Arabidopsis thaliana: one gene and its partners. The protein of the gene in region 1 interacts with the protein of each later gene in a pairwise test. Each region holds a gene or a part of one and is shown in the gene's direction. Other genes may lie near its edges. The genes, in order: AT3G18570, AT3G29270 and AT1G78140.

Region 1 (3,304 bases):
AAGATATTTTGTCGAAAACAACATGACTTGAAGTTGTAAAGGAATATCAGAATTGTGGGATATTTTTGCTTGTTATTTTGAATTACAAAATTTATGTAGACGATGTGTATTCCAAAAGAATTGTTAAATGCTTATTAACGGATACATAGGACTATGAGTTGTATTTTTGGTGACGACAAAAGCAAATTTCTTCTTCTTATTGACCATTTCAGCATGTGGGTTGAAATTGTCATTTAAGAGAGTTTTGGTAAAAAGTATTAGATTTGAAATAATTGAGGCACTTTATTCCAAAATATTCTAATCACTTTCTCCGCTCTTTAGCCCTTTAGGGTTTATGACGTTAAACCCAGAATCCAACATTTGACGATTCGATTCGAAAATCTCAGTGAAGATCGAAAATGGCGAATTCAATGGCTACACTTTCTAGAAGACTCTATCGATCTCTTCTATCGAACCCTAGAATTTCTCAAGCTTCCATGTCTTTCTGTACCAACAACATCACTTCCCCAGAAGACTCCGACTTTGACGAGTTAGAATCGCCCATTGAACCAAAGGCCTCAGATCCAGTTTCTCGATTTTCCGGAGAAGAACGCGTTATGGAAGAGCGTCCACTCGAAAATGGCCTTGACTCTGGCATTTTCAAGGTATCAAACTTAGATTCTAATTCCAATTGATACATACTCTGTTTTTGTTGTTTTTCTTAAATCGATCGTTGCAATTTTGCCTTTTGTATGATCTTTGTTGAGTCATTTTGTGAACATCATTAGATTCTCGTTCTGGATAGGTTAATAATTAGTGTGTTCTAGACTAATTTCTGGTTTAATACAGGCAATATTGGTGGGGCAAGTGGGTCAGCTTCCTCTGCAGAAGAAGCTTAAGAGTGGTAGAACTGTCACTCTCTTCTCTGTAGGAACTGGTGGGATCAGGAACAACCGGAGACCGCTTATTAACGAAGATCCGAGAGAGTATGCGAGCCGGTCTGCGGTGCAGTGGCACCGTGTCTCTGTTTACCCTGAACGCTTGGCAGATCTTGTGTTGAAGAATGTTGAACCCGGGTTAGTTCTCTTCTGAGATCATATTTAGCTTGTAAGGTTATGTGATGATAGAATAAGGAACAAATGTATGTATCATGTCTGATATCGATCAAGAATCGGTGAAAAAGGATGAAACTTTAGGTGAATCTTGCTTGCTAGATTCAAAATGGTAGCTTGCTTTTGTGTATGTGTCATAACAACTTGTTTCGTGTTCATTCAACAGTACTGTTATCTACTTAGAGGGTAATCTGGAGACGAAGATATTCACTGATCCTGTCACTGGTTTGGTTCGACGTATAAGAGAAGTAGCAATTCGTAGAAACGGTACTAATGGCTCAACCCCTAAAACTCCATTTCTTACATATTTCATTGGGAAACAATTAAATATTGATCTCTGTTTTCTCTCCTTACAGGCCGAGTTGTGTTTTTGGGAAAAGCCGGTGATATGCAGCAACCGAGTTCTGCTGAGCTTAGAGGCGTTGGCTACTACTGATTTTTAACATACAAAAAATTGTTGTCATAAAGGTACACAATTTGCTATTGTAGTATTTCTAGTTTCGCTTCTGTTGTCTCTTCTTGTAACTTGAAGGTTTGGTTTAGTGTTCTTCAATTGGCATTGGCCCTTTTCCATGGTTTTCGGCAAATAAACCCAAACCAAACCCAATCAATACGATTTAGACTAAACCGAATCTAAACCAAAATCTCGATTTTAGACAAAGTGAAAACCAAGACCAATCTCCACGTGTTTACAAACATTGCATGAATGCCACCTCAAAGCTGAATCTGTCCTCCATTTGTTTTACCCTTCCTCATTCTGTTCTCTGTCACACACACACACAAAACAACAATCGCTCTCTACAATGGCGGAAAGGTTCTCTAGCGGCGAGGCCCAATATTGGCCCAATTATGGTAGCACCGCCACCACCACCGTTAGCAACAGCCCCATCTCGTCGTTTTTCCATCAGCTCCGATCCCATTCACCAACATCCTCGCAGCTCTTTGGTTTCCTCGCTCTCTTTATCTCCACTGGCATCCTCCTCTTCCTCCTTGGTGTAAGCGTCACCGCTGCCGTGCTCGGCTTCATTGTCTTTCTTCCATTGATCATCATCTCGAGTCCGATATGGATTCCCGTTTTTGTCGTCGTTGGCGGGTTCTTAACGGTCTCCGGATTTCTTGTCGGAACGGTGGCTTTAGTGTCGTGGACGTACCGCTATTTCCGGGGAATGCACCCGGTTGGATCGAATCAGATGGATTATGCACGTAGTAGGATCTATGACACGGCATCTCACGTCAAAGATTACGCTAGAGAATACGGTGGTTACTTCCATGGCAGGGCTAAAGATGCGGCCCCTGGTGCTTGACCTGAACCGGTTGGTATAGTCTGGTTCAGGGTAGTATTAACCGATCACGGTTCGATTTATGGAGGAGGAACACGGTTCATGGTAATATTACATTTTCTTATTTTGTTTCCGTTTATACTTTATAAGATGAAGAAGAATATCTATCTAGTTATGTGTAATGTAAGCTTTGTGTCCGTCGCTTGAAATGTAATATTTCATTTTGTTTTTAAGTTTTTTTTCTATACATTTTTGGAGAGATACTTATATTATAATCAAATGTCTTCCGTTGTGTTTGAATTCGAAGAAACAATGAGAGTAAATAACTACCATTTTTTTCTATCTTCATTGCTTATTTCAGACGATATGGAAGAGCATGTTACATCCTTTTTGTGTTCTTTTTCTAATAATGAAAATTCCTTATTATAAATAGTCATGTTCAAAGTTTGGAAAAAAAAAATCCAATAAGAACCTTTTACAGTTAAAACCAATGACTTAATAACCCTCTTTATACGTTTTATACTTTTATGAACACGAGAATTGTCTATTTTTGTATTAATTAACACTGGACTGAAATCTAAAGAGAGAATACGGTGTCGGATGCAAACATGTTTATTAGTGAAAAAGGAAAGGATTGTAAAATGTTGGTAAGATTAAAAAATTATGTCCACTGGTAATTGGTTTGACAGGTTGCAAAGATTCCAAACTATTAAGAAAATCTTAATTCGAATGTTTACCGTTTATAGTAGCTAAATTAATGATTCACTGTGGGTTGATGCATGCACTGAGATAATTTATTATTGTAGCAGAACCTACTTTACCCTTTGTAGCTACTAGCTAGTAATCTACTATTACATTGGAAGAACCAGTCATTGAAGATTTAGAAGAGGCATACAATGGTTACATGCTCGAACGTGACATGAGGGATAAAAA
Region 2 (4,512 bases), 4.8 Mb from region 1:
CTTGATGCTTCTGACTTTGCTAATGATCTCGATGAGGTTGTCCTTGTGGAAAACTGAAATTTCTATCGTGTGGGGCTCGAATTAATATGTCATAAATAAATCGACGCTTGCTTGAAATTTCCTAAGTTTGTGTGTTTGTATTACCTATCATGTGTAATTATTGTGTGCTTGTGTTACCTATCATGTATAATTATCGGGTGTTATATGCTTGATTAATAAATTTATTTTCTACTTACCTTAATCGATTATGTTTATTTCAGAAATGGATCACATTACAAATGGAATGGTATCCAAGGCAAACCTTAGAGATATTTGCATACCGAATAGTGGAACAACACACACTATTCTAAAACAAAAAAAAAAATTCTCTCATTTGAAATCAACAAAAGTTATTGTTAACACAATATCAGGTCCCATAGACTTAATTGAATGGACCGGTAAAACAAATTTTGCATTACTTAACGGGACAAAGTTCTCGATAAATAATGCATTATTTTTACCAAATTCAAAAAGAAATTTGTTGAGTTTCAAAGATATATACCTTCATGGATATGACACTCAGTGTGCAAGTGAGAATGAAAAAAAGTACATGTATATCACTTCTGAAAAATTGGGAAAAAGACACGTTTTGGAAAAATTACCAAGACTCCCATCAGGATTGCATCATACATACATTAATTCAATAGGATCACATCTTGTTATCAAAAGAGATCATGATGATTTCACATTGTGGCACGATCGCCTTGGTCACCCAGGCACCACGATGATGCAAAAAATTATAAAAAGCTCACATGGACATTCAATGAAACCCTAAGAGTTTTATCAAGAAAATAAAAGGACATGTGTTACGTTTTCTCTTGGAAAATTGATTATAAGGCCATCGACAAGCAAAATCGATAAAGAATTACCAAAATTCCTTGAACGAGTCAAATGCGACATTTGTGAACCTATACACCCACCATGTATACCATTATATTATTTCATGGTAATGATAGACATGTCTAGTAGATGGTCACATGTTTGTTTGTTATCATCTTGAAATGTGGTATTTGCGAGATTTCTAACTCAGATAATCAAAACTAAGAGCTGAGTTTCCTGATTATCCAATCAAAGGAGTTAGATTAGATAACGTTGGTGAATTTACGTCTCAAGCATTCAATGATTATTACATGGTAACAAGAAAAAATGTCGAACATCCTGCACCCCATGTCCATAGTCATTCGAGGGAGAGCTTGTATGATTATACTTTTTTACCTTACTGTGGTTTCTACCAATGGATTTTATTAGAAAAGTTTTAACGAGACAACATGAAAGATATCGCAAAGAGATAAATGACAAATGAACTCTGGACGAGAAGAATGTTGCAAAAATTAAAGAAATATTTACATATTAAGTCCATTTGCATTTTATCTATATACACTCATATAGATAAAAAAAAAACAACGTAAAGTTTCTTTTATTATTATTTTTCTTTCGTGATTGTTCTTTTTCTCATATTTCTTCTTTTTAATATATTTATTATTATTCTTTTTAAAATATTAAAAAAATTGAATTGATAAATAACTTATAATACAAAATTCTATTAAATTATATTAATAAAATTAACCGCTCTGTGTTTTATTTTTTCAGAGGTTTACTTAATCTTCAATAAGCGTAAATGTTTTGGTTGGTAATGTTATTATGTTTATAAAAAAACAACTAACCAAGTTTTTACGTTAGAAAATATCAAAAACACTTTTGGAAGGAAAACTTGGGTACACGATTGAAACGACGTCGTTTATGAAAGCAAAACAAAACCCAGAAAGTTTAGGTCTCGCCGGAAAAATCGAATCAAGCATCTTCTTCTTTCACGTACGAAACAAAAAGCTCAGAGCAGAGTCGAATCGGTACGAATCTTTATCTAAATCACTCTGATTTAGTTTCGGTTATTGTGAACCATTTGATTGCTCTGTCCTTTCAATTATCTATCTAGGTTCGATTACTTCGTTAGCTGCTTAATTCTGTGATCAATTATCTCATTTAGTGATTTTGATTTTAGGGTTTTCTCTTTCTTCCTTTAATCTTATATTGGGATCTTCTGTATCGGATAAAGTCATAACCTTTGAGATAAAGGAATCATCTTTATTGCTGAAAATGATTGAGCTTTAGGTCTAATACAAGTCTGAGAGTCTGATTTCGATTCTGAGTATAAAAATTGAAACTTTCTATTTAGGGTTTTCTTAATCATTTGTGTTGCTATGGTTGCTTAATGTATCACTAAATCTTGGTCTTATTAGTTGGTTGCTACTGATATAGAATTGCATCTGTGAGTAAATTTAGCTCAAAGATAAAAGAGTCCCCTTTATCGCTGAAATGATCGAGCTTTGAGCTCTAATACAAGTTAAAGCGTTCGAATAATCGATTCTGATCATAAAAATTGAATCTTGCTATATAGTAGTTGCTTAATCATTTGTGTTGCCATGGTTGCTCAATGTAGCACTTAATCTTAGTTGATTCTTAGTTAGAATTGCATCGGTGAGTAAACTTGGCTCAAAGATAAAAGAGTCCCCTTTATCGATGAAATTGTCGAGCTTTGAGCTCTAATACAAGTTAAAGCGTTCGAATATCGATTCTGATCATAAAAATTGAATCTTGCTGTATAGTAGGTTCTTAATGATTTGTGTTACCATGGTTGCTCAATGTAGCACTTAATCTTATTAGTTGATTCTTAGTTGGAATTGCATCGGTGTGTCGTTGGGATTGTCTTTGAAGGATTAATATGTGTTTTCTCTTTGCTTATGAAGCGATGAAGCATCGAGTTCGGTGTTCATGAAGGTCAGAGAGTTAAGTATTAGCAGAACTGGTTAGGTCTTAGTGACAAACAAGGTATTCATGTTATCCATCCCTGATACTAGAATGTGGAATCTAGCATCGAGTTATCTTACGGGAAACATTGGACCGAAAAACGATATCAGAAGACCGGTCCATGCTCATGCGGAGTGTTCAGATGACGATGTATCTTCTGTAGGTAGTAAAGACGAAGGTCTCGAGTGTCCTATATGCTGGGAATCATTTAATATAGTTGAAAACGTTCCGTATGTGTTATGGTGTGGACATACGATGTGTAAAAACTGCATTTTGGGACTTCAATGGGCTATTGTGAAATTGCCTACTCACCCGGTTCAGCTTCCTCTCTTCATTTCATGCCCCTGGTGCAACCTTTTGTCTTTCCGTCTGGTCTTCAGAGGAACACTCAGATTCCCTCACAAGAACTACTTTGTGCTTTGGATGGTCGAGAGGATGAATGGAGAGAGACGTAACTCACCTGGTGGAGCTCAAACAGATGGAAACAATGATCATACAAGGGAAACTCCATCTCCATGTCTCCACAATCGCCATCATCGCAGTCAACCTGAACCATCACGTTCTGTTAATGATCATCGCATTCCAAGGGACAACATACAAACTTCACTGAGGAAGTCTCTGGTTTTCTTTGTCCAGTTGACAGCAAAGTTCCCATTAGTTGTCATATTTCTGCTGATAATACTCTATGCAATACCGACCAGTGCAGCCATATTGGCGATGTACATTCTAGTCACTCTCTTGCTGGCTCTACCGTCGTTTCTCATCCTCTACTTCGCTTATCCTTGTCTCGACTGGCTTGTTCGAGAGATTGTCACATGAACTTTCTAAGGATGCGTTCAGAAACTTCCCATTCCTAATTTGACGACTTTTCTTCAACAACTGAGACCCAAGATCGGTCATGTAAGTATAACAATTTCGTAATTACCGTCTTCTTTATCTATATATGGATGTAGTTTTGGATTGCATTGTTGCTCTACGAAGCTGGACGTATGTGTTGTAAGGGCTCTTGCAGAAACTTATTAGTATTTGTGGATTTGTTTGTGAGTGTTTGAGTGTCTCAATAAGATTTATGTATATAAAGTTTATGCAATGTTATTTAGGAATTGCGTAACTAAATGCATTGATTTTTCTTATATATAATGACTAAATTGTATGGGTTTTTTTTTCTTTTGTTTGTTTGTTCCACCCATTTCCATAGAAGAAAGCAAAAGATGACACCCAAAATTAGGGGTGGGTGTACGGCTTTTCGGTTTGGTTTCGGTTCGGTTATTTCTCTTTTATGTTTTCTATGAGTTCTAGTCTAGATCATTTGAGCTTAAAGCGTTAATTGTGTTCTACGATATGAAACAAAGACTCAAAGAGCATTCAAATATGATGTATACACAAAAAGAAAGAGTTAAGCTGTCTTAGTTTATGTGTCCCTCTTCCACCGCAGCAAAATCAAGCCCGGAAATCTTCATCGGTCCAATGTTAACTGGCAAAAACCCCGGTGTGTTGATTCAACAAAACAAGACAACATAAATGTAATGAGAATGGCACAAGAATAAAGTGTTGGTTTTACTTACTAACAGCATCAAGTCCAGCTAATTTGGGCATAAACTGTCTGATATGGTCCTCTGCTGCTTCATCTGCCTTCAATGTCTCACACTCGAACGAAACCGATACTTT
Region 3 (4,741 bases), on another chromosome or scaffold:
AGATGTTCTGTCCACTGATCTCTTTGTATTTAGCATCAGAGAGCTGCTTCTGTAGCTTATTAGCTGATTCATTCTCCATAGTCCCACTGAGCTCTCGCTGTTTCGCCACTTCAGGTACAGTAGCCGGCTTTTTAGGAGATAGATTTTCCTCTTCACCAAATGATATCTGGCTTATACCATTAACTGCTTGCTGAAAGATAATCAAGAGTTTCAGTAATATGACTAATAACATAACGGAACAAGTCTCACTCTCTACACAAACTGGTACCTGATAAACTGGTAATGGCTCTGACGCATCATCTTTTTCGTTACGAGAAAAGATCCCACTGCCAGTTATCTCCTTCATTTTATGTTCTGAGCAAGGCTTCCTAATGACATCATAAACATTTTCACAAGTTTTGACATTAGTATAAATAACCAATCTCATGAAGCTGTCAAATGCATCATCAAGAATCCTTAAATACAAGTCACACTTGAAGATTACTCTCTATGATCTAACTTTTGATGGCATAAACAGAGTATGAATTCAATTCACAAAAAGTTTTCAACTTTCAGATATATGGACAAAATTGGAAACTAATTTTCAAAGAAATCGAATTGGAAATGAAATAGTGATAAGGAAGTAAGTTTAACCTGCGGTTCAAGCTCTCAACTTCTTCATCGGTGACTTGACCACCAAACACCACTTTGCTAATCCCATCCGATGGCTACAAACACATTAAACCAAAATTGAAACAAATACTATTACCAGATTGATCAAAATCAAAGTGAAATTTCATGAATTTCGAAACGGTGCAAGTACCTGGTGGGAACGAACGGCGGAGCGAGAAGCGGAGGAAGGAGAATCCGGCGGTGGAACTTCCGACCAAGTAAGTAGATCTGCGGTCGATGTGTGTGGCTTTCTCACCGGAGTACTTCTCTCCATACTCTCTCACTCACTAGTCACTAGCAAGCAAACAAATCGAAGAGAATGAGAAAAATACAGAGAGGAAGAAGAAGAAGAAGATTAGTCTCTCTCTTTTCAGCTTCTTCTTCCCACTTGGTTTAAGATTAATCGATTGTGTTAATTGACTCTATTACCCTTTACTTTGTTCGTAAATCTCATTTTGATCTGGAAGCTTCTTCTCTACGCTGCCACGTGTGATTTAACAAGTGGTCATGATCATTAAATTCAAAATCAGATTTTCTAATCAGAAAATTGTTGTGATTAGTAGTATAATTTGTTGGCGTTTAACGGGAATATTCGAATACTTTTCTTCTTGTAAGGAATTGGGATTAATATTTTAGAATGTAAAAAAAGTTGTTATTAGGGAAAAAATAATAATTGAAGCGCATTAGATAGAATTATGGTCAATCATATTCTTCTCTTTTTTTTTCTGACACAAGACCATGTGAAGCCATCAAAACTAATAAAGACTTTTACCAACGTTTTATTTAAGCAGTGTGATCACGTGATGCCAACCTTTTATTAGCCATTTAGCATACAACATGTAATTTGATTAAAAGTGTAATTATTTCAAAAGCCGTGATTTTATCCTCTCAATTAGGCCTTCATAACTAAACTTAATTATTTTCCGCAATCTTTAATCCTGATTCTTCGTAACGAAAACTAAATTAGTAAATTCAAATTGTCACGGAGATATGCAGTTTTTTACACGGATCCTTAAAAGAACATGCGTCCAAATAAATTGTGGTTAGACAGGAATATACACAGTAATTTGATTAATTAGTTAATCTAGATTAAAAAACATGTAATCTACTAAGCCCAAAACGTTTAATTCGAAGCTTTATGTTGTTGTTGACAAGAAAATGAAGAAACCACTAGGCCCAAAACCTAGACCCAAACCAATTATATTGAACAATGTTTGGGCCTTTATTTGAGGATCCATCAAAGACCATAATAAAGGCTTCTCTTTCACAAATTCCAAAATTGTTAAGTTTTACCATTTTAAAACTTGTTTCCACGCATTTTGTGTGATTTCTTTCTTTGCCTTTAATAAAGCTTCGTGCTCAATAGGCTGCCACGGAGGCGAGCCTGAAAAATGCCGATGACGGTTGTTTCCGGTCGATTCTCAACGGCGTTGCTCCCTACTTGCTTTTCCTTGTCGCGGTTGCATTCCGTCAAGTACGCCGCTCAAAGACGGGTTGTTTTCGTTTCCAGATCAGCTCACGCCTCTTCAGCCTCCGTCTCCGTTGAGACAAATTCGAATTCGAATGTACGTGCCTTAGTTCTTCTCCAACTTTTTGTAGGAACAGATTCTACTTGTATATGTTATCATGATATTCCCGAAAGAAATCATAATTAGTTTTTTGTTTGAGTTTTACGTGTATTTGATACTACTTTGTTGTGAATTTGATTTTGCTTGATGATCTCGAATATCAGATGATTCAATTTGATTGGTGTGCAGGTGGATTTTGTTATCGAGAAGAAGGATAAGAACAGAGGAGAGAAGAAGATTCTAGCTTGTCCCATCTGTTATAACTCCTTAGCATGGATTAGTCAACCTAATGGATTAATGTGAGTTTTACTTTTCACTAATTTTTATCGTTTGTTCAGAAATTGGATTGAGAGAATAAGTGAATGTTCCAATTTTCTTGAGAGGCAAGTTATCGAAGTTTTGTATTTTACAGAGAATCTGCTGCCTCTGGTATTCAAGTACAATGCAATACATGTAAAAGGAGTTACTCGGGTAATGAGACGCATCTTGATTTGGCTGTTGCTAGTGGAAGCAAGAGATACAGTGAACCGATGCCTCTTTCCACTGAGTTATTTAGGTAGATGATATGCTTCATTGGATTCTTTGTCAATGTCCTGTCTTCTATGTGGAAACTGAGATTTTTTTGGAATTGTTTTTTTATAGGACTCCACTGGTCTCGTTTCTCTATGAGAGGGGTTGGCGTCAGAATTTCATATGGGGAGGTTTTCCAGGACCAGAGAAAGAGGTGAGACAAAAAAAACCTATCTCAATATTCAAAGGCCTCTTCTTTGGCGGCAATTATCTTTCAGGAAATGCGTCAAATTTCTGATTGTTTGTCCCATTTAGTATATTTCACTTAACATAATGAAGCTTACATTGATTAGCAATACATGAACCAAAAATTTAAGAACACTGATAAAGTTGCATTCCACAGTTTGAAATGGCTAAGGCCTATCTGAAGCCTGTTTTGGGAGGCAATATCATTGATGCTAGTTGTGGAAGTGGGATGTTCTCGAGGTTATTCACTAGAAGTGATCTATTTTCTCTGGTTATTGCTCTAGATTACTCAGAGAATATGCTGCGACAATGCTATGAACTCTTAAATAAAGAAGAAAACTTTCCCAACAAAGAGTTTGTACTTTCACCTTTTGCTTTCTTTATTGTCTTTAGATCTTGGGTTACCAGATGTGTTATTTTTACTCCTGCTGTCTCGTTTCCAGGAAACTTGTTCTAGTCCGAGCTGACATTGCTAGACTCCCTTTCCTTTCGGGTTCAGTTGACGCTGTCCATGCTGGTGCTGCTCTGCATTGCTGGCCTTCACCATCCTCAGCCGTAAAGCTTTTCTCCTAATTCAACATTTTACAAAAACAACACATACAATGATACATTGTGTTTATTTTCCCTTGGATCTTCTAGGTTGCTGAGATAAGCCGTGTTCTTAGACCTGGAGGAGTATTTGTGGCCACCACATTTATCTATGACGGTCCATTCAGTTTTATCCCCTTCTTGAAGAATCTTCGTCAGGTGTGTGTATAAGTTACTTCTAAGCCTTAAAACTTTCATTCATGTCTTGCATTTTCTTCTCTTTTGCTCCCTGAGGTGGTCTATGGCTGATTATGCATTCTGGTCATTCATAATATTGTAGGAAATAATGAGATATTCAGGTTCTCACATTTTCCTAAATGAACGTGAGCTTGAAGATATCTGCAAAGCCTGTGGTCTCGTTAACTTCACTCGTGTTAGAAACGGGCCATTTATAATGCTATCTGCAACAAAACCCAGCTAAGCTCACCCTCTTTAAAGTATATATACTTTTCTGTAAAAAATTGGTATAAAGTTATAAACATTATAACAACTTGAGTTCCATACAGTATACCTAATTTGTAAAGCTTTTTGCAAATGTTCCTATTATCTAGCTTGTAAATTGGGGTTAACATGGTTTGCAAAGGGGTCTTCTTCTTGTGAAAACTCAATGTCTCGATTGGAACTTTCTGGAAGAAGTTCACGCATCTCAGAATCTATAAAAGCTTCCATCCGAGCACGATCTCTGTCTAGAGGATAGGAACGGTAAAGAAAGGAGTATATGAAGCAGCAAGCCGCCATTGGGAGTCCTATAGATGTATAAAGAGCTTTTGCCAGAGATGCTGCATTCTCTCTATCTGTGGCTATCTCTGTTGACCTCGATGACCCTTCAGGGATTGGCTTGTATCCATAAACATGTTGTGCCAGGATTCCAACTATAGGAGGTGCAAACGATGACAAGATAGACTCAAACGATTTGTCCAGTGCGTAGACGCTTGTTCTTGATTTCTCTGGAACGATCTCTGCGAAGATTGGGCTGCGTTTGTTTCACCAGGTCAGCAAAAACAGTTAAACGATAGAGAGATATAAAGTCTTTAGGCATAGTAAAGAGAGAAACTTTACTTGTTGGTAGCAGGAGCATTCCAAGAAACAAATAGCCCCAATAGGACTAAGATCAGACCATGGATTGCAGCTGTAGATGGATCATCTGGTAAGACCAACAAGAGAATTGCAGCGAGCGG

What was found.
Region 2: the proteins of AT3G18570 (region 1) and AT3G29270 interact in a two-hybrid assay, tested with the Arabidopsis thaliana proteins (one large-scale study listed by BioGRID).
Region 3: the proteins of AT3G18570 (region 1) and AT1G78140 interact in a two-hybrid assay, tested with the Arabidopsis thaliana proteins (one large-scale study listed by BioGRID).

The regions. Positions count from the first base shown.
Region 1 is NC_003074.8:6,395,163-6,398,466, reverse strand, and holds AT3G18570 (Oleosin family protein), read left to right. Parts: upstream 1-1,842; 5' UTR 1,843-1,894; coding exon 1,895-2,395; 3' UTR 2,396-2,677; downstream 2,678-3,304. Other genes in the region: AT3G18580 (Nucleic acid-binding, OB-fold-like protein), read left to right, coding at 399-644, 829-1,055, 1,258-1,358, 1,448-1,527.
Region 2 is NC_003074.8:11,232,455-11,236,966, forward strand, and holds AT3G29270 (RING/U-box superfamily protein), read left to right. Parts: upstream 1-1,718; 5' UTR 1,719-1,886; exon of another isoform or gene 1,887-2,783; 5' UTR 2,784-2,871; coding exon 2,872-3,663; 3' UTR 3,664-4,004; downstream 4,005-4,512. Other genes in the region: AT3G29280 (uncharacterized protein), read right to left, coding at 4,251-4,318, 4,410-4,512.
Region 3 is NC_003070.9:29,401,180-29,405,920, reverse strand, and holds AT1G78140 (S-adenosyl-L-methionine-dependent methyltransferases superfamily protein), read left to right. Parts: upstream 1-1,895; 5' UTR 1,896-2,042; coding exon 2,043-2,216; intron 2,217-2,408; coding exon 2,409-2,518; intron 2,519-2,631; coding exon 2,632-2,775; intron 2,776-2,861; coding exon 2,862-2,943; intron 2,944-3,132; coding exon 3,133-3,329; intron 3,330-3,418; coding exon 3,419-3,530; intron 3,531-3,614; coding exon 3,615-3,722; intron 3,723-3,843; coding exon 3,844-3,984; 3' UTR 3,985-4,106; downstream 4,107-4,741. Other genes in the region: AT1G78150 (N-lysine methyltransferase), read right to left, coding at 1-190, 269-455, 634-707, 803-925; UNE2 (Major facilitator superfamily protein), read right to left, coding at 4,107-4,536, 4,623-4,741.